3 linked regions of the Astyanax mexicanus genome follow. The protein of the gene in region 1 purifies or fractionates together with the protein of each later gene. This does not show direct contact. Links are inferred from orthologs where the notes say so. Each region holds a gene or a part of one and is shown in the gene's direction. Other genes may lie near its edges.

What was found. Proteins that work in one complex are often made in the same cells at the same time.
Region 2: the proteins of phlpp2 (region 1) and usp1 purify together in Homo sapiens (affinity purification with mass spectrometry; 3 studies listed by BioGRID and IntAct, with this or other methods). This does not show direct contact. The link is inferred for Astyanax mexicanus from reciprocal best matches to the Homo sapiens genes PHLPP2 and USP1.
Region 3: the proteins of phlpp2 (region 1) and usp46 purify together in Homo sapiens (affinity purification with mass spectrometry; 4 studies listed by BioGRID and IntAct, counting the BioPlex papers as one, with this or other methods). This does not show direct contact. The link is inferred for Astyanax mexicanus from reciprocal best matches to the Homo sapiens genes PHLPP2 and USP46.

The regions. Positions count from the first base shown.
Region 1 is NC_064423.1:38,447,807-38,455,724, reverse strand, and holds the start of phlpp2 (PH domain leucine-rich repeat-containing protein phosphatase 2), read left to right. Parts: upstream 1-4,906; 5' UTR 4,907-5,052; coding exon 5,053-5,295; intron 5,296-5,542; exon of another isoform or gene 5,543-5,741; intron 5,742-7,918. UniProt on the Homo sapiens protein: Protein phosphatase involved in regulation of Akt and PKC signaling.
Region 2 is NC_064412.1:23,424,415-23,431,410, forward strand, and holds the start of usp1 (ubiquitin carboxyl-terminal hydrolase 1), read left to right. Parts: upstream 1-3,977; 5' UTR 3,978-4,166; intron 4,167-6,423; 5' UTR 6,424-6,480; coding exon 6,481-6,647; intron 6,648-6,744; coding exon 6,745-6,868; intron 6,869-6,955; coding exon 6,956-6,996. UniProt on the Homo sapiens protein: Negative regulator of DNA damage repair which specifically deubiquitinates monoubiquitinated FANCD2. Also involved in PCNA-mediated translesion synthesis (TLS) by deubiquitinating monoubiquitinated PCNA.
Region 3 is NC_064408.1:65,042,586-65,050,558, forward strand, and holds the start of usp46 (ubiquitin carboxyl-terminal hydrolase 46), read left to right. Parts: upstream 1-4,954; 5' UTR 4,955-5,316; coding exon 5,317-5,352; intron 5,353-7,973. UniProt on the Homo sapiens protein: Deubiquitinating enzyme that plays a role in behavior, possibly by regulating GABA action. May act by mediating the deubiquitination of GAD1/GAD67.

The DNA.
Region 1 (7,918 bases):
CCAAACTGCTCGAGGTCTAGTGTGAAGTTTCCACCAATCAGTGATGGTTTGGAGAGACATGTCTGATATCTGCTGGTGTTGATCCACTGTGTTTTATTATCAAGTCTAAAGTCAAAACCAATGTTTTCCAGCAAAATCTTACGGCACTTAATGCTTCCCTTTTTATGGAGACTTGGCACACTGCCCACAGTACTGCCAAAAGTACCAATTGGTCTTATATAATATTCTAATTTTCTGAGACACTGATTTTTGTGTTTTCATTGGCTGTAAGCCATAATCATCAACATAAAAGTAATAAAGACTTAAAAAACCTTTAAATGATATTTACATTTTTGAGATGCACTAGTATATAATGTATCTCTGCTTTCTTTGACTTTTTATCTTGTTTTTTGACAAAATAAATGTCAATGGTGCAATTAATTTTGAGAATGTAAAAAGAGAAGTCTCCTTAAGTTATCACTAAAAGCCTGTATACAGCTTGCTTTATTTGCTTCATGTGTCCCATGACTTTTGCCACGTCGCCTAAAAGCTGTGGGATATGTGTGTGTGGGGTCTTCTGCACTGATTATGGATGTGATTTTCTGCCCGAGTCTCTTGTTTGTACTTTGTTGTTTGCATGGACAATTCTAGCCAGATGCCACCGGTCGCCATCACTACCACCCACAGTGGTACACAAGATAACACCTCACAACTTACACAGGTGTGGGTTCCCACGTCCTCAAGCCATCCCCTGAGGTAATTCTTCACAATCAATTGTTCTCCTTTTTCCATATGTTTTCTTTCATTGGGTATAATTGGCTCTCCTGAGAAGCATTCATCTAAAATAAACCCCAGGAGTTTGTTTAGATGGTTCTCTTTTAGGTTCTGGAACCACAGAAGAACCCTGGGGTAGAGTCTATGATTATCTGTTACACTGCTGCCCTCTTGTGGTGACATAGGAGAACTGTAAAATAATAATAATAATAATGTTATGTATTGATAAGAAAACCATACACGAATTATCCTGTAAATCACTATACTGGAAAGGTTATATCAGTACGTGATGAACTGCTGAGTCTGTGATAAGACAGATATGATAAAGTATAGAGCCATTGTGTGTTTCAGTAAAATACTGAGTCATTATGCACTGATGTCATGTTTAAAGGTTTGTGCTTTTCCATCTTAGTGACAGCATCCACTCTCACGTGCCTCACAGGGAGGATGTAGAAATAGCTTGGAGGAATGGAGTAATGCTGCAGTCTGTGTCACAGGTGAAATCACAGTATTTCTTACTGTTTTTCATGGAGTTTAGTAAAACACTCAGTATTCTGTAAGTGCCCTATATCATTAAAATAGCTTAACTAAATAAAATACGAAGAAAAATAATATTTTGTATTACAATTCTGACTAAATCCCTCTGCTAGTAGGTTTGAAATTGAGTTTCTTGTGTACTCAGTATAAAAAACTGGGCTTAAAAACCCTATATGGATAAAGGTTGTGGGATGCCTATTAATTTATTGATTTTTTCTGAAATCAAGGGTATTAAAAACAAGTCTGTCATCTTGTTGTGTCCCGGGGATGTCTTTCTTCTAGATTTTTGAAGCACTGCTGTGAGGATTTGGTTGCATTTAGCAATTCATCGCATTCAAGCATTGGATGGAGCTCCATCATTCCATAAAACCTTTTATCTAGCCCACACGTTCCATTAGATTAAGCAAGGCACCAATAGGTTCATTGTATTTATCTATTTTAGGGACTAGATAAGCTGTGTGTACAGTGGTTAAAAAAAAGTTTGGGCAACCCTGATAACTTTTATTATTTTTCTTTATAAATCATTGGTTGTTCAGATCAGTAATTTCAGTTGAATATATCATAAAGCAAACGAACACAGTGATATTTGAGAAGTAAAATGAAGTTTATAGGATTTACAGGAAGTGTGCAATAATTCTTTGAAAACAAAATTAAGCAGGTACATAAATGCAGGCACCCTTATGGTCAAAAATACCTTCAACCAGAAGCCAGCCCTCATTGGAAGCTATAAGAAGAGTTTAGAGGCTGTTATTTATGCAAAAGGAGGATCTACTAAATATTGATTTGATGTATTTTCTGTTGGGGTCCCCACATTTATGCACCTGCCTATTTTAGTTTAAAGGATTATTACACACTTTCTGTAAACCCTATAAACTTAATTTCGCTTCTCAAATATCACTGTGTTCATCTGCTATATGATATATTTAACTGAAATTTCTAATCTGAACAACCAATGATTTATAAAGGAAAATCATTATCAAAATGATCAGGGGTGCCCAAACTTTTTCAGACCACTGTCTATGTGTGCATTAGGACGTCTATGTGTCAGCAGTAGGTGCATTCACAAACATATATTTGAACATGTAGCATATTTAGGGTTACTTTAAATATATAATTCTTAATAAAGATAAATAATGACATTACCTTAAATAAAAAAGTGTATGTTTGTTGTTCTCCATATAGACTTAAAATGGATTTAAAATACACACATTTTCCTCAAGTAAACTCTGTCCACTGGCCACAATACCTGTCAAAAGTTAGGACACATCTTCATCAGCTGAACTAGTCAAGAGTTAATTACTTGAATTTCTTGTCTCATAATAAAGTGTTTGAGAGCATCAGTTAAAGTAAAGTAGTGCAGAGGTAGAGTTACAGGTATACAGTGAATAGGGAATATTTGAGTAATGTTCTAATCCAGATTATGAGAAGCAAGAACTACTCAACTAAGTAAAGAAAAAAAAGACAGCAAAAAAACATTAATAACGTTAGGATGAAACTGGCACTCATCAGGACCGCCCCAGGAAAGGAAGCGCAAAAGATTCCTTTGTTGCACAGGATAAGTTCTTTAGAGTTACCACCTATGGAAACCGCAACTTAACAGCTCCCCAGATAAGAGCACCTAAATGCTTCTTCACAGGGTATTTTAGTTTGTTTAACACTTTTAATTTACTACATGATTCCTTCATAGCCTGGATTGGACAGTTTTTACTACCCAATCGTAAAGTCTCTACTCTGAATCTGTGTTGTTGTGTGTTGGCTTACCTTGTGGGTCTTTGTTTAAGGTCTGTTTTTTCTATATATAGATAAGCACCCATTACATAGTGCATATGGCCTGTCACCTCTACTTAGTTGGGCTGGTACAAAAAAGGTTAAATATTAAACATTAGAGGCATTTTATTTATCTTTAACACGTGGTTTGACAAGTGTGTGTGAGACATATGAAGTGACCATGTTCAGGACTGTTTAAATTTGAACTTTAAAACCATATATAAACTTTGTTAAGCCTATATTATCAAGGTGAACTTGCTCTTTGATAAGAATGAGACACGCCCATGAAATACAAAACTAAGCATATTGACTTTGTGATGATCTTTGTGATGCATGACATCAAACTGAATGTATATTTTATGATAAAATCTTTTACAGCTATATACATAAGTGTGACGTCTTATAAAACTAGCCTCTATTACTTTTTGTTATATGTAAATTATTATACATTACATGTCCAGTTGTCCTGTAGAGTAGAAGTACTAATAGATTAGGACTGATAACCACCCTGTTTTAGTATTGAAAGTGGTACTTAGAAGAATCTAATGTATAAAACATATTCTCATTTGTTTAACCCCCTTTTTATGTTGTTGTTCACAAAATAATTCCATGTGCCATATCGTATCATACGCAAAAATAGTGCAAATTTTTGAACATATAAAAAAATACCTCCATATTGTGATATTGTAATATTCTTTGAAGCTGTCTATTTTGTATTTGTTTTCTTATTTACTGTATTTATTTTTAATTGTTTGTTTGCAGTTTATCCACAGGCACTAAATATACTTTTGTTTACTGGTACCAACAGCAGCAGATTACATGACTCTCCAAACCATCACTAACCATCAGCAAATTTTACATTTCATTTGGAAATAAAGTAGTAGTGTGAAGTTTCCACAATCAGTGATGGTTTGGAGAGACATGTCATCTGCTGGTGTTGATCCACTGTGTTTTATTATTAGGTCTAAAATCAGTGCAGTTTTGTTTTCACGCAAAATCTTACAGCACTTCATGTTTCCCTCTGCTGACAACTTTTATGGAGATGAGGATTTCATTTTCCAGCAGGACTTGGTACACTGCCCACATTGCCAAAAGTAGAATTTGTCTTAAATAATATTCTAATTTTTTTGAGATACTAATTTTGGGGTTTTTAATGCCTGTAAGACAAAATAATCCACAATAAACTAAATATGCGCTTAAAATAGATCACTCTGTGTGTAATACATTTATTATAATATAAGAGTTTCACATTTTGAACTGAATTACTGAAATAAGGCAAATTTTCTAATTTTGAGATGTAGATTGTTTTGTTGTTCTGTAATTACATTAAGCTATTTTTCCTACAATTTATTTTTTTGTTTACTATTATTTTATATAAAATTAAAGTCTCGGTAAGTTACTTTTTATGAAATAGACAAATGTTTATAGATTGTACATAGAAACGTTTAGATTTATGCTGAATAAAATGAAAACAAACATATTTTTGCAGTAGTATTTTCTTGAAATTAATAAAAATGTATAATATGTACAAAAAAATAATTAATAGCAAAAATACTATTTTATAAAAAAAATATTATTTGGGGGCAATATCGCCAACCTGTAGTTCCTGTATAGCTTTTAATTCCTGGCCAAAAAATATTGTATTCAAAAAGAAAAAAAACATGAATCATAAAAAGAGATAAAAACACAAGATTTTTTATATATTTCCTATCATTTGTCACGAAGCACCTGTTTTGGGCGTTCCTGTTCTCATGAATAATTCATTAAATCCGAAGCCCAGGAATGGGCAGTGCCTCATGAATAATAATTAGCCCCGCCCTCTACTGTTTATTGAGCGCGGATCTGACAGCCGTGCGATTCGGTCCCATTATGGCGTCTCACCGAATCAGGATGGGCTTTTTCCGCCGCCGCCTGTGCTGGAATTTACCGCTGGTCAGCTGCGACGCGACATCTGGACGTTTGGGTTGAAAACGGGACGTAAATGTAGGCGAGAGGATGAAGGACGAGGAGAACGCGGCGAGGCCGGTGCGGAATGCCGAGGCGGACGCGAAAAACGGGGCTGCTGTGGAGGACGGCGACCGGAGCGGCGCGGCGGTGGCCGTGGCGGTGACTGGATCTGCGGCGGGGGCTGGCGCTGAGGCTGCGTGGACCAAGCCGAAGCCGGGGCTTGTCGAGGGGGCGGGAGAGCGCGGCGCTGTGGCAGCCCGGGGTGGCACCACGGGGATACGGGTTTTAAAGGTAACACATCTGTGGCGTCAGTTATTTATCTCGTTAACTAGTTAGTTATGCGGTTAGTTAGCTAGCTAGCTGGGTTACCGTTACCGAGAGCTGTGAGCGAGCGGCTGCGGAGGGATGATGTTCCCGTTAACGAGGGCCGAAAGGCAACAGCCTACGTGTGTGAATAGCATCGTGAACAGCATCGAGAACGCCTCGCTCGGAACGCCATTGACCCCCTCCCTCCCTTCTCCCACCCGTCCGTCCGTTCAGCGAGAGATGATGATGATGATGATAGCTAGCTGTCTGTACCCTGACAGGAGCCGGGCTCTCCGGTTAACCGGGTTTACACCCAGCGCCCCGATCCTTCCCGCCCTTTTGCTAACTAGCTACAGCGCGCGACCAGCTAACTCACACCAACTGTCACTTTTATAACCTGTTAGCATCGTGGCTAAATCTGCACCTCTGAGGTAAATCTTTAGTTGAATCTGTGAAAGCACTATGTAGATAAAGATAAATAATCAATAATAACGAAATAATGAAAGCTGACTGCTAGATTTTAAGCTATATCGATACCTTTTTAAAGTAAGTTAAGTTAATTGTAATGTTTTTAAAAAACAGCAATGGTTTAATACAGTTAAGCATACACTTAGAAAAAAATACTATTAGCAAGTAAAATGATCTAATTTCCATGCAATAAATCTTAGTTTCTCTATGATAAAGATTTAAGCACCTGCTGAACATTTAAAGGGCATTTAAATCCCACAATCCGCTGTTTCTAGTTTGCTAGCTAGCTAAAGCGCTGGACCTGCTAACTTACACCAACTTTCACTTTTATAACCTGTTAGCATCTTGGCTAAATCTGCGCCTCTGAGGTAAACCTTTGTTAAACTGTGACAGCAGGATGTAGATAAAGATAAATAATCAATAATAACGAAATAAAGAAAGCTGACCGCTAGATTTTAAGCTATATTGACACATTTTTAAAGTAATTGCAATGATTTTTTTTTTAAAACAGCTATGGTTTAATACAGTTGAGCATACACTTAGAAAAAAAATAGTATTAGCAAGTAAAATTATCTAATTTCCATGCAATAAGTCTTATTTTCTCTATGATAAAGATTTGAGCAACTGCCGAACATTCAAAGGGCATTTAAATCCCACAATCCGCTGTTTCTAGTTTGCTAGCTAGCTAAAGCGCTGGACCTGCTAACTTACACCAACTGTCACTTTTATAACCTGTTAGCATTGTGGCTAAATCTGTATGTCTGAGGTAAATCTTTAGTTGAAACTGTGAAAGCACTATGTAGATAAAGATAAATGATCGATAATAACGAAATAATGAAAGCTGACTGTTAGATTTTAAGCATTATCAAAACTTTTCTAAAATGATCATAATGTTTTTCAATTTTTCAGGAAAAACAGATAACATATCATAGTTGTTATGGCTATGTATAAAAAACACCAGTGGTTTAATACAGTTGAGCAGTAACATTACATTTCGAAAAAAAAATAATATTAGAAAGTGAAATGATCTAAATCTATTTTTTCTATTAAAAAGATGTAGGTATAAGAGTATCAACTTGGCCTATGTCTCTAAAAGTGCCCAAATACAACAGATTCCATATTGACTCACTAATATCAGTCAGTTCCACATTTAAGCATCTTATGATCATTTAAAGGGCATTTAAATCCCATGTTTGACTGTTTGTAGTTTGTTAGCTGGCTAGCTATCTAAAGTGCATGACCAGTTAGCTTACACCAACTGTTGATTTTAGAACCTGTTAGCCTTGTGGCTAAATATGTATGTCTGAGGTTAATCTGATAAACTGTGACAGTACCAAATAAATAAAGATAAATGATTGATGATAACGAAATACAAAAAGCTGATCGCTAGATTTTAGGCTATATTGACACCTTCATAAAATAAATGTAATGTTTTTCAGATTTTCAGGTAACAAAAAAACATAGTTAACAGTTGTTATGACTATATATTAACATTTTAAGATGTTTAGTTTAGCATACAGCTGTACACAGCAAAAAAAAAAAAAAAACTTAGCAAGTAAAATTATCTAATTTCAAGGCAATATATTTTTTTTACTCTTGAGCAATTTCTGAGCATTTAACAGACATTCAGTTCACCACCAAATTCATCTGATGTAGGATTCTAGTTGAGATAGTCAGGGCCCTGTGGAAATATCCAGTTTTAAGGACGGTTTTTGCTGGTAGCAGGGTTCGGATGGTCTAAGCTGATCTTTAATAGTCAAACTGATTGAAAATCTTATTCTTCAGACAAAAACATGCACTATAGAGGTAAATTAACTTGTTAACCAGCTCTTGACCATCATAATGTGTGTTGAATTTTATTTTAGGCGTACTGATGATAATGTTTGTAGACCAGATAAACAATCAAACACTAAAGGATATATACCCTATAGTGGTCAAAATCAAGGCTGGTCAAAAAACAGCATCAGCATGACCGACTTGAGCTGTATATTCAGCAGGGGGGGCAACTCAGTATGCTTGAGGTCACACACACCACTCCTTCCACTTTCCCGTCAGAAGTCATTCTGTTCAAAGATGATAATGTTTGTAGACCAGATAAACCATTAAACACTAAAGGATATATACCCTATAGTGGTCAAAA
Region 2 (6,996 bases), on another chromosome or scaffold:
TTGGTGTGTCAACTACTTAAAGATGTGCAGCGTTGTGCATGAACGTTGTTCCACATTTATTGAATACATTTATATTTTTGTGAACACTGAACTGAAAAAATATGAACTAAACAGGTTTACAAATAGTTAAAGTTAGTGTTGTTAACTCTCACACTACTGAATGTGCAGCCAGGCCACAGTAAATAAAAGCCCCAAAAAATGTGAGAAATACTTATTTTGGTTGTACATGGAGTCTTAATATAATATACTCTTTTAACAATTTGAAGGGAAAGAATTGTGCACATATCTTAAAATTGATTGGTGGGTAAAGCTGGTTTGCTTGAGAATGTAAACTCATGAGACAACGGGACTGAAGCTGTTCAGGTAAAAGAATGTCTATGGTGTGAGCCACATCTTTATTGGCTTGTGTAATGTAAACAACAAGGTCCACATAACCCCAGTTAAAAGCAGATAAATGTAGCGTAGTGTAAACTATACAACAATGCAGAGATTTCTGTGATTAGCACCTGCTATTTTTCATTTCTTTAGAGCATTATGGCTACACTTCTATTTCTTTTACATAAATGACCAACATTAAACCCTGAGTCAGTTCACTCACTTATATATAAAAGACTAATGTTGATCTCTTTAACTGAGCATCGTGGCACACAAACTTACATCTTTGAATAAAACATAAATGAATAAAAATCATAAATGTTTAGTGTATCCATATAGTACAGCACTGAAACTGTGTGTATATCTGCCATCAGTACTGAAAAAAACATGCCACACAATTGAGTAGCTAATATTTACAAACAGATATAAGAAATAAAAGACATGAGACAAAATGTAGGTTTAAAAATAAGTTTATTAATAATATTCTCTACAAATAAAAAACAACACAATTACATTAACAATTAAAACAATAAATATTATTAATAAAAAAACATTTTAAAACAGTTCTGAAACTTCAAAACAAATTCTGATATATTTTGAAAATGTGTAATGTTTTTATTATTTTTTACTGTTATAAAAGTTAATTGTTTTTCGTAATGGTTTATTATTTTAAAAGCTAATTGTTTATAATGTTTTATTATTGTTATTGTTTTATTATTTATGGTATTGTTTTTGTAATGTTTTTTTAAAGCTAATTGTTTTTTGTAACGTTTTATTATTTTATAATATTTTAAAAGCTAATATTTTTTGTAATGTTTTATTATTTTTTCAAAAGCTAATTGTTTCTGTTTTTTTATTATTTTTTATTGTTATAAAAGTTAATTGTTTTTTGTAATGTTTTATTATTTTACAATATTTTAAAAGCTAATAATCTTTTGTAATGTTTTATTATTGTTATAAAAGTGAATTGTTTTTTTATTTTTTATTATTTCTATTGTTATAAAATGTAATTGTTTTTTGTAATGTTTTTATATTTTTTAATATTTTAAAAGTTCATTTTTTGTAATGTTTTATTACTTTTATTGTTTTAAAAGCTAAATGTTGTTTGTAATGTTTTATTATTTTTATTGTTTTAAGAGCTAGCTGTTTTTTTATTACTTTTATTGTTTTAAACGATAACTATTTTTGTTTTATTATTTTTATTGTTTTAAAAGCTTATTGTTTTTTGTAACATCTTATGATTTTCATTGGTTAAAAGCTAATTGTTTTTTGTAATATTTGAATACATTTTATTAAGTAAGTAAGATTAAGACTAAAAGGGGCAAGGAAAAACTGTGTACTACAAAACTAAACTTAGTTAAGCTAATTAAACAAATAAATAGTTAGTTCAACAAAATAAATTGAAAATTAAAAAGTAATATAAAATAAACTTATCAACTCTCTAAAAATCATAAAGATTATAAATGTATCAGAAATGTAAAGTTATACAAAGATAAGATAATTAAATAAAGGATACTGGTAAAAAAGGATATTGATGAATCAGAGGCGAAGTTTCTTGCAGGGTGGTGTCCAGTCGTCCTCGGTGAGCACAACGCAGGGCCCCTTGCGCTTGTTGTTCCTGGGTGGTTGAGGCTCCAGGCGTCTGCAGGTGGATGTGGTGAAGCTGGTCCTCTCGTTCCACTGTAGATCCATGTAGATCAGGTGAGCAACCAGGCTGTACAGGAACCACTTCCAGTACTCGGCTCTGCTGGGTGGGGAAGTAAAAGGGGTAGTACAGACCTGCAGATGAACAAATAAACAGAAAAAAAAAAACATCAGTGCTGCTCAAAACCATCTACACTCATTCACTATTCAATCAGCTACAACTGCACATGTACAGATGTACAGATTTTATGTGAGGATTCATGATTATGAGAGAGAGACTAAAGAACTGATAATAGAGAACTTACCGACTTCGGGGAGGGAGATGAACTGCAGAGGAAAATCCGGACTGAGGAACACGTAAGCCTCGGAAGAAGGACGCCCCTCACCTGTAATCAATAACATCAGATATTTTATATATCATAATTCCAGTATATTGGGTTTGATTGACTGGGGTCACGTGACTTTCTCACAGCGACGCTATAATGTGGATTTTCTTCAGAAAGCTTTTCTATAGCGGTTCTGAGTTTACTCGGGTTACTGTATATCAGGAGTGCAGTGCTGTGTGAACGGGGCTGATTCTAGTTCAGTTTTATACTGAAATACAGGAAGATTATTCATGTTTCTTACCGTGCAGGCGGGCATAAACTGGTCTTGGGAAACCGGGGTGATGCTCCTCCAGCCAGTCCAACAGCTCCTTTCAAGCATTCAAACCTAAACATTCCCAACTAACTGCTTCAACTAAATTATAATTTATATATATATATATATATATATATATATATATATATATATATATATATATATATATATATAATACTAAAACATGTTACTCTCTTTCCACACATTAATAACGTGACAAAATTGACAGCCTGGTGAAACATTAGCTGTTTGATTTAGCGATTTAACAAAGCAACGCTTACCTTGCAATATTATAATACAGTTGAAAAAGAGGTTCTAGTCTGCCAGGCCTAAACCACACTACACTACATGGCTACAACATACACGGCTAATTCATACATTTATATGTAAATATGTAAATTAGCCATGCATATTTTATTCTTTGCAATAGAATTGCATTGAAAATCTTTTTGGATTGATCTTTGTTTAGACCTGAAGAGAAGGTTGGGTACGGAAATTCCCAGTCCAGTATGTATTGTATATTTTTGATGACCCTTCCTTTTGGTAAATTTCATATACACAAAACAAAATTCGCCAAACATTTTTACATTTAGACATATAATTATAAACACCTACTGACTAGTTTTCGACACATATCTATAGATATGTTTAAGCTTTTCAATTTTATATAAATCCCTTTTCTTTTTTGCTTGTGTTTGTTTATGGTTTGTGTCTGTGCTTTTGTGTTTTTATAATCATGTTTGTTTGAACTTTTTTTGTGACCTAATATTGTGTTTTCTTCTGTGTTTTAGATTGTATGTTGTGTAAATGAAATCGCCTTTAAAAAAACGGCGCGCGTTTTTTATTCGACTCGTGATTGGACGATGTCTTGGGTTGAACGCTTCCCCGCTTTTAAAAATCATAGGTCGAATCAAAACCTAGCACGTGCGGCCCTTTTTCAGCGGTGTAATCGCTTCATCGGTCTCGTCGGAGTAAAAAGAGTGTCGCGTGTTAAAGTAGAGACATCCAAATCAGTTTTAAATCAGTAGAGATTCGGGTGAGACTGAATGAAAAGAAGAAGCTGCAGAAATCGAGGAACCCGCCTCTCTAAGGAGCACCGCGGACACGTGATGAGACGGGTGGTCCCGCGGGTTGCCTGTGCAATAAATAAAACATATTATCTGGTTTTAATTTATTGTGTTTTAAAGAATCACACATTTCAGAGTTGCGTTCGCTCGCATTCGTGTGTGATACGCTGCTGTTTGTGCATTAAATACTGGAATATTTGAATAAAGCGAGCGTCATTTTTCCTGCAGGCGATGAAGGGGGGAGAATTTGGGCGTGCATCTGCTGGAAAAAGCGCCCGCCAAAGTTGTTCGCTGCGGCGAGAACCTCTGCGAAATCTTCTGCGTATGCAGCGAGTTTAAGAAATATATACTACAGAGAACCCACGGTAAATACAGCAGATCCTGCACGAAGATGTAACCGAGGATGTGAATAAGGCGCTAGGTGGAGCGTGTGCGGTACAGGTTTGTGTGTTTGGTTGTGTTTTTAGACTGGGCTGTAGTTAGGTTAGGTTAGGTTAGGTGAGGTGGGAAGTTGTAACGTTAGTTGAGGGCAGCGCGTGAAGCTGTTGGCGCGAGCTGCACTATGTTTGGCCAGCTTAGTTTAAACTGTGCTCTGAGCTCGAATACAGATCAGTAATAATAGTTAGATAGCTAGGTTAATGTTTAAAGTGAATCATGGAAAAAGTGTTGTGTCTACTGTTATTTTACTGGGCCCGCTTATGTAACTTTTAGCTAGCTTAGCCAAGATAGCTGGTGTTGTGTCGAGCTGTGCTACCCTGTCAAATCGTGCTACCCTAGCGTGTATTTAAACATAAAAATGCCAGAAAATCGACATATTTGAAAGTAGTATCGGTATGATTGTTGTAAAGCCTAAATCAATATGTCAGGGTAAAGTAAAGGAAAAACAACCCGTTTTTTTATTTATATTTGTATTGGTTGTGTTATTACTTATTATTATTATTATTATTATTATTATTATTATTATTATTATTATTATTACTATTATTATTATTATTACTATTATTATTATTACTATTACTTATTATTAAGTGTCATTTACACAATTGTATACAACTATAAATAATGACAGGTGGTCCGGCTTTTTTCACCCGATTTAAACAGAATTATCGTAAAAACAAACAAAAAATTGCTTAAAATTTGTATCCGCGCTTGCGCGCTAGTGGTAAAAGCACATATCGACATGTACCGCAACTCGACTCAACACCCTCCCCGACTAGCTAGCTGCCTAGCTACCTTAACCTAAAGCTTCAGCCTATACCTTTTCGGTTTGTATTGATTGTTTTAATGCACGATATAGATGTTTTGTTTTCTTCCTTTTCTTTGTTATCTATTTTTTTTTTACCTTTTTTATGTGTGTATGTTTTGCAAAAACAAAATAAACTAAACGAACTTATTAGCAGCACGTAACGGGAGCTGTGGGATAAGTTGTGGCTAGCCAGCTAGCTAGCGCTGTATTTACCCTCAGTCGCATGGGCCACTCATGGCCAGCAATGTTCTAGGGTTAAGTTAACGTTAACTGTTTTTTTTATTTTTAGTATTTTTATTTTAAAATAGTCTGTAGCCAGTAACCGTACCTGCACTGTCTGTTTTTACTGGATTTTTAAGGGAACAAACCATACGTCGACTACGTTAGCTAGCTAATTTAGGTAGGTTAGCAACTACCAGTTGTTTGCATTCAGATAAATGTATGATAGCAAAGTAACGTTATTTTAGGTTGCATTACTATCTGCATTTAATGTTTATGACGTGAAAACAACCTCTAAATAATTTTGCTAATATTCTCTCATAGGCATCTGTCACACTATTCTTGTTTACTTATCTTGTATCTTATTTGTTATTTAGTTTTATACATTACATTTTCTACTCTTGTACTGTACAGCACTTTAGTTGGCCCTTGTGGTTTTTAAATGTGCTTCAGAAATAAATTTGACTTGATTTTACACTACAAGCCATAAGATTAGAATACAAACAAAATACAAAACCAGTCAGAAGTTAAGACACACCTCCTCTCATTCAATCTCATTCATTTTATTTTCGTTTTAAATTTTTTTTACATTGTAAATCTAACATTAAAAAGACATTAATGCTATACAGGAACACATGCACAATTATTTTGTAAATTATATGGGTTAAACAAACCAGAATATGTTTTATACTTTAGATTCTTCTAAGTAGCCACATTTAGCTTTGAGTACAGACTCTTGGTATTTTCTGAGTGGTTTCATGAGTTAAAGTCACCTGGAATAGTTTTCTCAGCATTTCTCAGTTTTCTCAGTTCCTGGAGGTGCTGAACAATAGTTTCTGCTTTTCCTTTACACTGTGAAGCTCCAGCTCATCCAAAATCACCCATCTCATTCAGGTTGAGATTTTTTTACTGCATAATTCCACGTGTCCCTTAATTGTTTTGATGTCATAAATATTAATCTGCAGTGTAGGAAATTAAAATAAATAAAAACAGTGAATAGGAAGTTGTGTCCACACTTTTTCACTGACACTGTATATACCCTGTAAGTATAGATTAACATGTACAACATGAATACACAAAACCGTTGGATGTTGGATCAGCCTAAAATTAATGTGCACATATAAATTAATTCTGATGTTGGATGTCAATGTTGTTTTTAATACATCAGAGATAGAAAAATGAGTGTTGATTTTAACATGTTTGTCCTTTTTTCCCCCCTTTCTTTTTCTTCAGGTTTGTCATATTTCAGTCTGATTTCGCTTGCAATTTCTCTCTGTTGCGTTGAGCAGAATGCCTGGCCTACAGGCTGAAGGAGTGGTGGCTCCTCTGGGAAGCCCCAACAAAAAGAGCCGCCTCTCCCTCCGGTTCTTTCAGAAGAGAGAAACCAAAAGAGCACTGGACTTCTCTGAAACTCCAGTAGAAGAACCAAGCACAGCTGAACCAGAAGAAGCCCAAAGGTGTGTGACCTTACAGTCAAGTCACCCAAATTAATGACACAACATGTAACCAAAAGTTTGCATGAAAATAATGTTTTCTTTCTTCATGTTTTCCAAGTTGTGACCAGGTGGTGCCAGTGCCTTGTCCTTTTTCTGTTCCTTGCGAGAAGAGAGAGAGCCTTGTCCCTTTTGTAGGTCTTAACAATCTGGGAAATACATGCTACCTGAACAGCATCCTTCAGGTAAGTTTACCAGTAGGACACTATTTAGGTCCATTATTTTGTGCAACGGTTTATACACCATAAATTGAACATTGTCTTTTACTGCAGGTCTTGTATTACTGCCCTGGGTTCAAAGAGGCTGTGAAGTC
Region 3 (7,973 bases), on another chromosome or scaffold:
CACTTACATACAGATTTTTGGAAATTTCACTAGATGGTAAGTATTAACATATTTTTGTACTAACTTTTCTCTCCCCCAGGTGTTCCAATAAGAAGTCCCCCCCATCTTGTAGTACATACGGAGCACCATGATACTACAAGAAGGGGAGTTAAGATGGCCACCATTCCCCAGAAAGACCCCCAAGGTACAAAATGAGAGGAAGTGGTATTGGCCAGACTGAGGGTGGGGCACAGTAGGCTGAACAGCACTCTTGTTAGAATGAACAGGCATGTTGATGGTACCTGTGAATAATGTATGGAAAGCCCAGAAACTGTAGAGCATGTCCTAATTCACTGTAGGAAATTCCAGCAAGAGAGACAGACTCTGATTGAACAAGTAGAGGCCAATGACACAGCATTCAGTCTAAAAAATATCTTACAAAGAAATATTGGAAAGATTTTATATTGTTTTATTTACTTTTCTGTAAGAGACAGGTCTAATTAGACGCATTTCATTTCTTAGAAGAGGCAGCTACTGTTCCACACTCCAGTCAAGCGGTGGCGGTAATACACCAAAGTCGTTGTCAACCGCCATTCACGAGGAAAAGAAGAATAAGAAGAAAGACCCTCAAAGGACAACAACCAGGTAAGTATATTTTTTAGTGGTGTCAATGGATTCAAAAAAATTATCAGATTAATCACAACAAAATTCTGTGATTAACTGCGATTAAACGCATTTATTTTTCTTCTGATGTATATTTTTATAGTGGATATTTAAATGTAAATCAAAGAAAGAACGCAATTATATGTATATTGATAATGTCAATCAAAATAATAGTATATACTTGTATGTTTGAGGGGAGATAAAATCAACGTAGGGTGCTGAAATAAAGAATGCATAATAAACTGGACTGTAAAATTGGTTCAGAGGATTTCTGAATTTGAACTTAATTTGCACTGTAAGAGCGCTCGTTCAGCCAGACAAGAGATCAGTGCGTTGGGTGGGGCAGATTATGGCAGAAGTAGGGGTCAAGCATTTTAAGTTTCTAATAAGCATTTATAAAACGTCATGATAGGCAATGTAAGGCTTGTAATTGGGATCCACATATTCTTAATCTTTTCTTTATAAATCTTCCTATCCGCTTGATCCATTTCATGGTTGCAGTAAAATTAAGGTGAGAAAAGAGCCCAGACCCAGACAACCCTGTTCCCAGCTCATTCTACTACCACTTCCTTCCTCTACCACATCCCCAGCATTCCCTTGTGTCTCATAGCAGGTGGTCAGACTGAATACACCTCCACTAGAAATTGACTAGGGATCCTTTTCAGATTCCTAATCCGCTTCAACTGACTCCCCTCAAAACAAAGGAGCAGCAACTCTACACCTAGCTTCCCTCATCACAAAAAGTAAGACCAGCTTTGGGATGTAGATGTGCGTTCATTTTGGTCACTTGCATGCACAAATCCACAATCTGTTTTTAATCAGTACATAGGCTTCCTTACCATGATTAAGAGCTTCACATAATTAAGTGTATTCACCACTAGGGCCCAACACAGTGAGTGCTTCTCCCTTTTCAAATCACTTGTGATCAAGGCTCTTCTTTTGGGCCCATGTGTGCTTTTTCTGTAGGTACACTTGATCAAGTGTGAAAGCTGCTTTCGAGCCCAGGATCGGCTAAAAATGGCTTTTGAAGACAATGCTAAGCATTTACACTACTAAAATACAACATTTATTAAAAAGACACTGTTTTAAAATCAATAATGGAGAATGGCAATAATTCTAAAGAGAAGATTCTGAGTACAGTACCATTTAGTACTGTACACTTTGACATTTTTGCTAGCACATGATTAATAAATTTAGCATCATGATGTTAAGTCACTACATTACACATCTTGCACTCCTACCTTATTGAAAGGACAAATATTTCAATTTGCAAGCCAGGTTTATAAGCCCATCAGAAATACACAGGCACAACTGAGGTTCCAGCATTACTTTATTTTTACGTAGACATTGTCTGATCATAGGCTTTGGAATAAAACCGTAATGATAACAGCATATACATGCAAAGCATAAGTTATACAAAGCTGTACAAGTCAATGTATAAGGGGCAACGAAATAATTTCAATCAAACCTTAGAAAAATACATTGAGGTAGAAAAGGAGAAACTAATTATTTTAAAAATAAAAAAATAAAATAAAATAAATATCCCACACTACTCAACTTCTCATTCTCTTTTAATAATGGCACTTTCCAATCTAGATTTAAGGTCAGAGCAAAAGACCTCTGGTCTAAAATTACAGGCTGTGGCAAATGTCAAGGCTGTAGCATCAACAGGGCTCCACTGCATCCAAGGGCTCAGAAGGCAGATTCTGGTAAAGAAAAGAAATGGATTATATAGACAAAGCATCAGATTTATCTTGCACCAAAATTCAGTAATAGTCTACTGGGGTTCAACAGATTTGACATTTAAGAACTTTAAGTTTCAGACTTTCCCCCACTCACCCTAAAGTCTGTAACAGAATCAATGACCACTAGATACAGAAACTTAGAGCATGAACAGATTAAACTTTAAAATTAAACTTCGTTTAATTCCTTTAAAAAGTTAATTTGCTTACCTGACTAACTTGACCTGGTCACCTACTGCAACAGCCACAATCCACATGTCTTTCCAGCATCTGTAAATAAAGGTGGTTTAGAGGAATTCAAACCTGAGAAAATTGGCAATGTATTTAAGAAAACTTTGTTTCTCCCGACAGGATCCGAAGCAAGGAATATTAAGCCTTCACTTCAGGTTTTTGAGAGAGTTCTTCTACCCCCCTGTGTTAATCATTTAGGACATAATTGGTCTTAAATGGGCAATAAAGGGGATAAACAAGTATAAGCAACTTTAAAGCTCAATTTCTAAAAGGACTTACCAGCTTTGTGCAAGACACCTCCCATTTCAGACAGGGGCTACATCTGCATACCTCTTATCTGCAAACATAAGGCAATCACATTAGAATGGTCACTGGTAATAATCTTTGATTTTTAATGCGTATAAAAACATGTTTCTCCCGACAGGATCCGAAGCAAGGAATATTAAGCCTTCACTTCAGGTTTTTGAGAGAATTAGTCTACCCCCCTGTGTTATCCATTTAAGACATGGCCAGTCCTAAATGGGCAATAAAGGGGATAATTGTGTGCATGTTTCCAAAACATTACTAAATTTGATTAGTCTTGTTGCTTTCTCTCTTAAGCAGTTAATTTTACCTACTAAGTGCTGGGTTCCAACTACAAACCAGGACAGCTTTCCTGTGTAAACGACCATATCAAATTTGAAAAACTACCTCACATGCAGAGAAGTAAGAATGACTCAGATTAAAATGTCATTTAAAGGCAAAAACTAAGACTCACCTGAGGTTTTGTGTAGAGGGCATTATTCCAGCCTGAATCCACACTTGCAAGCCACTTCTGAAAAGATGACAAAAAAAGAAAAGAAAAAAAGAAAAAGAAATCACATTTAAAATCAGCTACTGTTAGAAGATTAACTATTAAAACTTTTAGGTCAATTATTAGACATGTTTCTCCCGACAGGATCCACAGCAAGGACTATAACCTGTGCCATAGGTTTTTGAGAGATTTTTTTTTTTACCCCTAGTATATTGATCATTAAGGACATGCATGGTCTTAAATGAGCTCCACTGAGGGGGTATGTATCTCGATTTTAAATAAATAAAAATAAAAACACCCTAACCTTTGCAGTTACCATTGTAGTGCTCATTGAAAGCTTCAAAAACCACTTAACCAGGTGGTTCAGAACTCCAACCTAGAATATCAGAAAGGACAGGCATTGAAGTAACATGAAGACTGCGAACACAAATGACAAAACCAAGATAATTATATTTATAAATATAATTATAACTATTGTCAGTAGACAATAGTTTACAGTTTCTGTGGAATTAATAAAAACGTAAATCTTGTAGTAAGCTAACTACCTGTACCACATGGGTAAGCTAACCGCTAGGTAGCTAATAAAGTAGGCCCAACCACACAACTCCCACGTGTTCATGGGGTTTAAAAAAATTACAGCCTAGAATATAAAACTTTTCCAACGCACTTACATGCAGCCAATACAAGTTTAAGTAACAATAACTTAGTTAAGTTAAGTTAACTAGTTAGCTAACAAGATACTCTAACGATAATCTAACCAGAAGTATTTAGCAGTGCTAACTACCAGAGCTAGCAGCACATTTCTGACTTCTCTAGTCAACAAATATATCCATATGAAACCTAACCGCAGCTGATTTAATGATGCAGATCTGATAACAGGTTTAACATCTAAACACAGCATGAATGTTGGTATTCTAAACTCTCACCTTCCAAACACGCCCTAAGACACAGCTCCATCTGCTCTCAGCTGCAGAACAGAAAGACCAGAGTCAGGCTCGAGGAGGGAGAAACGAGCAGAGAGGAGAGAGAGGGGGATTATGGGACTTTTAAAGACACAGGCACGCGCTGGATCCACTACACACATACAGAGGACTCCTCTGAATAACATATGTTATGTTAGCTAAACTAACTGTTCACATCCTTGATGAACAACACATATTTAATATAATTAGCTTACTGTCATGTTTATTTTACACGCTTGTTTAAAGTAAAGTAATTAAAATAAAAAGTAGATAAATGTAATTACATTTTTTTTATTCTTAAAAGTAGACGTTAAAATTACGTTTCCTTTTTTGTATTCTAAATATAAGTATAATTCGATAATAAACAGAAATTAATATGTAGTTTATTTGACACATTTTAAAAACACAATAATTTCCTGAATGAATATTCTCTCATTGGCTACAGTGTACAACACTGGGCGTTTGCGGAACTGGATCCATGGCTCTCATTGGTGGAACAGCATGTCAATCACAGTAAAGCCAGCCCTGGTTACCCTAACTTCAAAGCGGCTCGCCGTCAGAGTGGGCGGGGCGTGGGCGGGGCGTCCTGACTGGCTAGCTGGCTAGTTAACCTAGGTTACCTGCCAAGAGCAGTGATGTTTACTGCAGATTTCTCTCAGAATTTCAAAATAACGGCTCGATTTTAGCGACTAAAATGAATTGAGCTTTGTTTTGGAGATGTTTGTCTTTTAGACGGGGGGTTTGTTTGGCTCTGAGTGGAGAAAAACACTGCTCTAAGGGGGTAACGTTATAATATCAGTGTGTTGTGAGTCAGGGCTCGTCAGGCACTGCGGTTGGCCTCTCCTGGTCCAGCTGGGCTGCGGATCATCTACAGCTCTCAGCTCTGCAGCTTCTCCAGTGATGTTTGTTTTATGAAGATGTCGGCGAGGGGAACCCTGTGAACTAAATGACTGTCAGAAACATCGCCTCCATCTGTAATATGGTGAGTACACGGAGCTCTGCACCCATTGATAGGTTAGCTAACCTAGCATGAATGCTAGTCACCGGCTAGCTGGCTAGCTGAGCGCTTTGCCTGGTTGCAGGGATGCTGATGTCGAGGCTCGAGTTGATCCGGGGAGCGGGAGCAAGTGCAGGGGCTGTCCGTCCAGCTAACATGATAACGTGCAGATTCCCTGCTGCGTAGGTTTCTCTATTAGGACAAATGTAGGTTAGGAGAGGTTAATAAGGAGTTGCTGGCTTGGTTGGGCCATTAATATAACCTAGCTAGCGAGCTAACCTAGGTCAGGTAGTGTTAAACTAGAATGGATTAAACTTTATTGTTAAATGCAGCTAGAATCTAACCAGAAGTGCAGTATACAGCTCTGGAAAAATAAGAGACCACTTAAAAATGATGAAAACCTCTGGAATATAATCAAGAGAAAGATGGGTGATCACAAGCCATTAACCCAAGCTGAACTGCTAAATTTTTTGCACTAGGAGTGACATAAAATTATCCAAAAGCAGTGTGTAAGACTGGTGGAGGAGAACATGCCAAGATATATAAAAGCTGTTAAGCTGTGAAAACCAGGGTTACTATTATATCAAAAATTGATTTCTGAATTCTTAAAATTTTATGAATATAAACTTATTTTCTTTGCATTATTTGAGGTCTGAAAGCTCTGCATCTTTGTCAGTGGTTTATAGAATAAAACAGCAATGTTCAATGTACTCAAACGTATACCTATAAATGGCAAAATCATAGAAAAACTGATACAGAAATTGAAGTGGTCTCTTATTTTTTTCCAGAGCTGTAAATATATATAGAGAGAGAAATGCAGTATGCATGTACTAGGAGCAGCAATGCAAATGCAAATAAGGATATACACTATAAGAGCAGTGCAAATAGATGGTAATATGCAAAATAGAAAAATTACATCTGCAGTAGATGTTAACTTGGCTAGCTAGATATCCTAGCTTTACTCCCACAGACCTGAATCCTTAACTTTAATGGAAGTTGTATGAGCTAGTTCACAACTACAGTGACATATAAGGTTAGTTAGCAAATGTGGAAATCCAAAAGGCAGTTTTTGCTGTCAAAGAAGGAGGAGAATGATGACTGTCTTGAGAAATCCAGCTCAAAACCAGTTTTTGTTGCTGGTAGTTGGTTTCAGATTGTCTAAGCGGTCAATGGGGGTTAAGGTGGTTGAAAAGCTGGACATCCAGGCGAAAACATGACCAGCCTGCTGTTGATTTTTGCATTTGGGCCGTCCTTGGATATGCAGGCTAGTCATTCTGGTTGGGCATGCTGATCATCCATAATGGTCAAGCTTGATCATACTGGTTGTCTAACCTGGTCAGGTCCTGCTTATAGATCAGCTAAACCATAGTACTTAAACTAAAACTAAGCCTATGCTGCTGAAAACCAGTTTAACAAGCTTGACCTATGGAGTCTGTGGTCATGCATGTTATGCATGGGCAGACATGAAGAGCCACATTGACATCCATTGAAACTAGGGATCCAAATATTGAGTAATTGTTTGTAAATGCACCACACTACAGAAAGTGCTGGGACTAAAAGGCAAAGGGGCGGGATATTTCAAACAGTTACATTTGCTTAAGCTACTAAGCCTTAGTTTATATTCACGTTTTATCGGTTATTTTTTAATTTCCTATGGAAACTTGTGTAATGTTAAGGTAGAGACTGGAAAACAGGGTGACATTCACAAGTGCACAGACTTGAACATGGGAGATAAAACTTAGTGAGAGGGTGGCAGAAATCGGTGGCTAATCGACTATTTGGAAAAAAAAAGATTATCAGATTAGTAAGATAACAAAATATTCATTATTTGCAGCAATAAGTTGAAACTCACATTTGAATTTGAGAATTTCATTAGGATTACCCGTGTTTCTTTTTCATACTGTAGCTAGCAAACTGTGACTGTCATTAAGAACTCCAGACCAGACAGTGGACTAGCTAGTTACACACCTGAACATCTCTGAGGTGTACAAGTCACACCAATGTGATAAACTTAGCTATACCTATATGCTCTATGCAGTAAGCTTGGATTGTTTTCATAGTAAACAGTTTCTTCGCAAACCAGCCTTACGGGGCCATCACAGGTGCTGCAAAGCAGACATGTCAACATCAGAAACTCCCAATATAATCCAGAGTTTTTTAAATGAATAATAGAAAAGTCAGACAGGGCTCAGGTCAGTGCTCAGTCATTGGCGCTGTCTGATCGTTAAGCTGTCTGGCAGTTATTAAACTCAACTGATCTGAGTGATGTGTGGCGACCTGCTGTGCACAGGCTCAGGTGAAGTGCCAGAGCAAGTTAAGCAGCGAGCCAAGCTGACAGCCTGCAGCAAGCAGAGAGAGTTCTTAATCTGTACACATTGCCAGACCATTTGACTGCAAAGCCTTTTTTTCATGTTTTTTTCTTTTTCAGTAAAGTATTTCTCAAGTTTCACTAGATGAGAAGACTGCTTCCTGAATCTTTTCCTGAAAATCCATCTTGTAGGGCAGTTCAGTTCCTGTTCAAAGGAAGCAAGCCTCATCATCAGATTCTCTGCTTACATATGTATGATCAAATATCTTTTTCACATTTATCTATTTTGATAAATGTT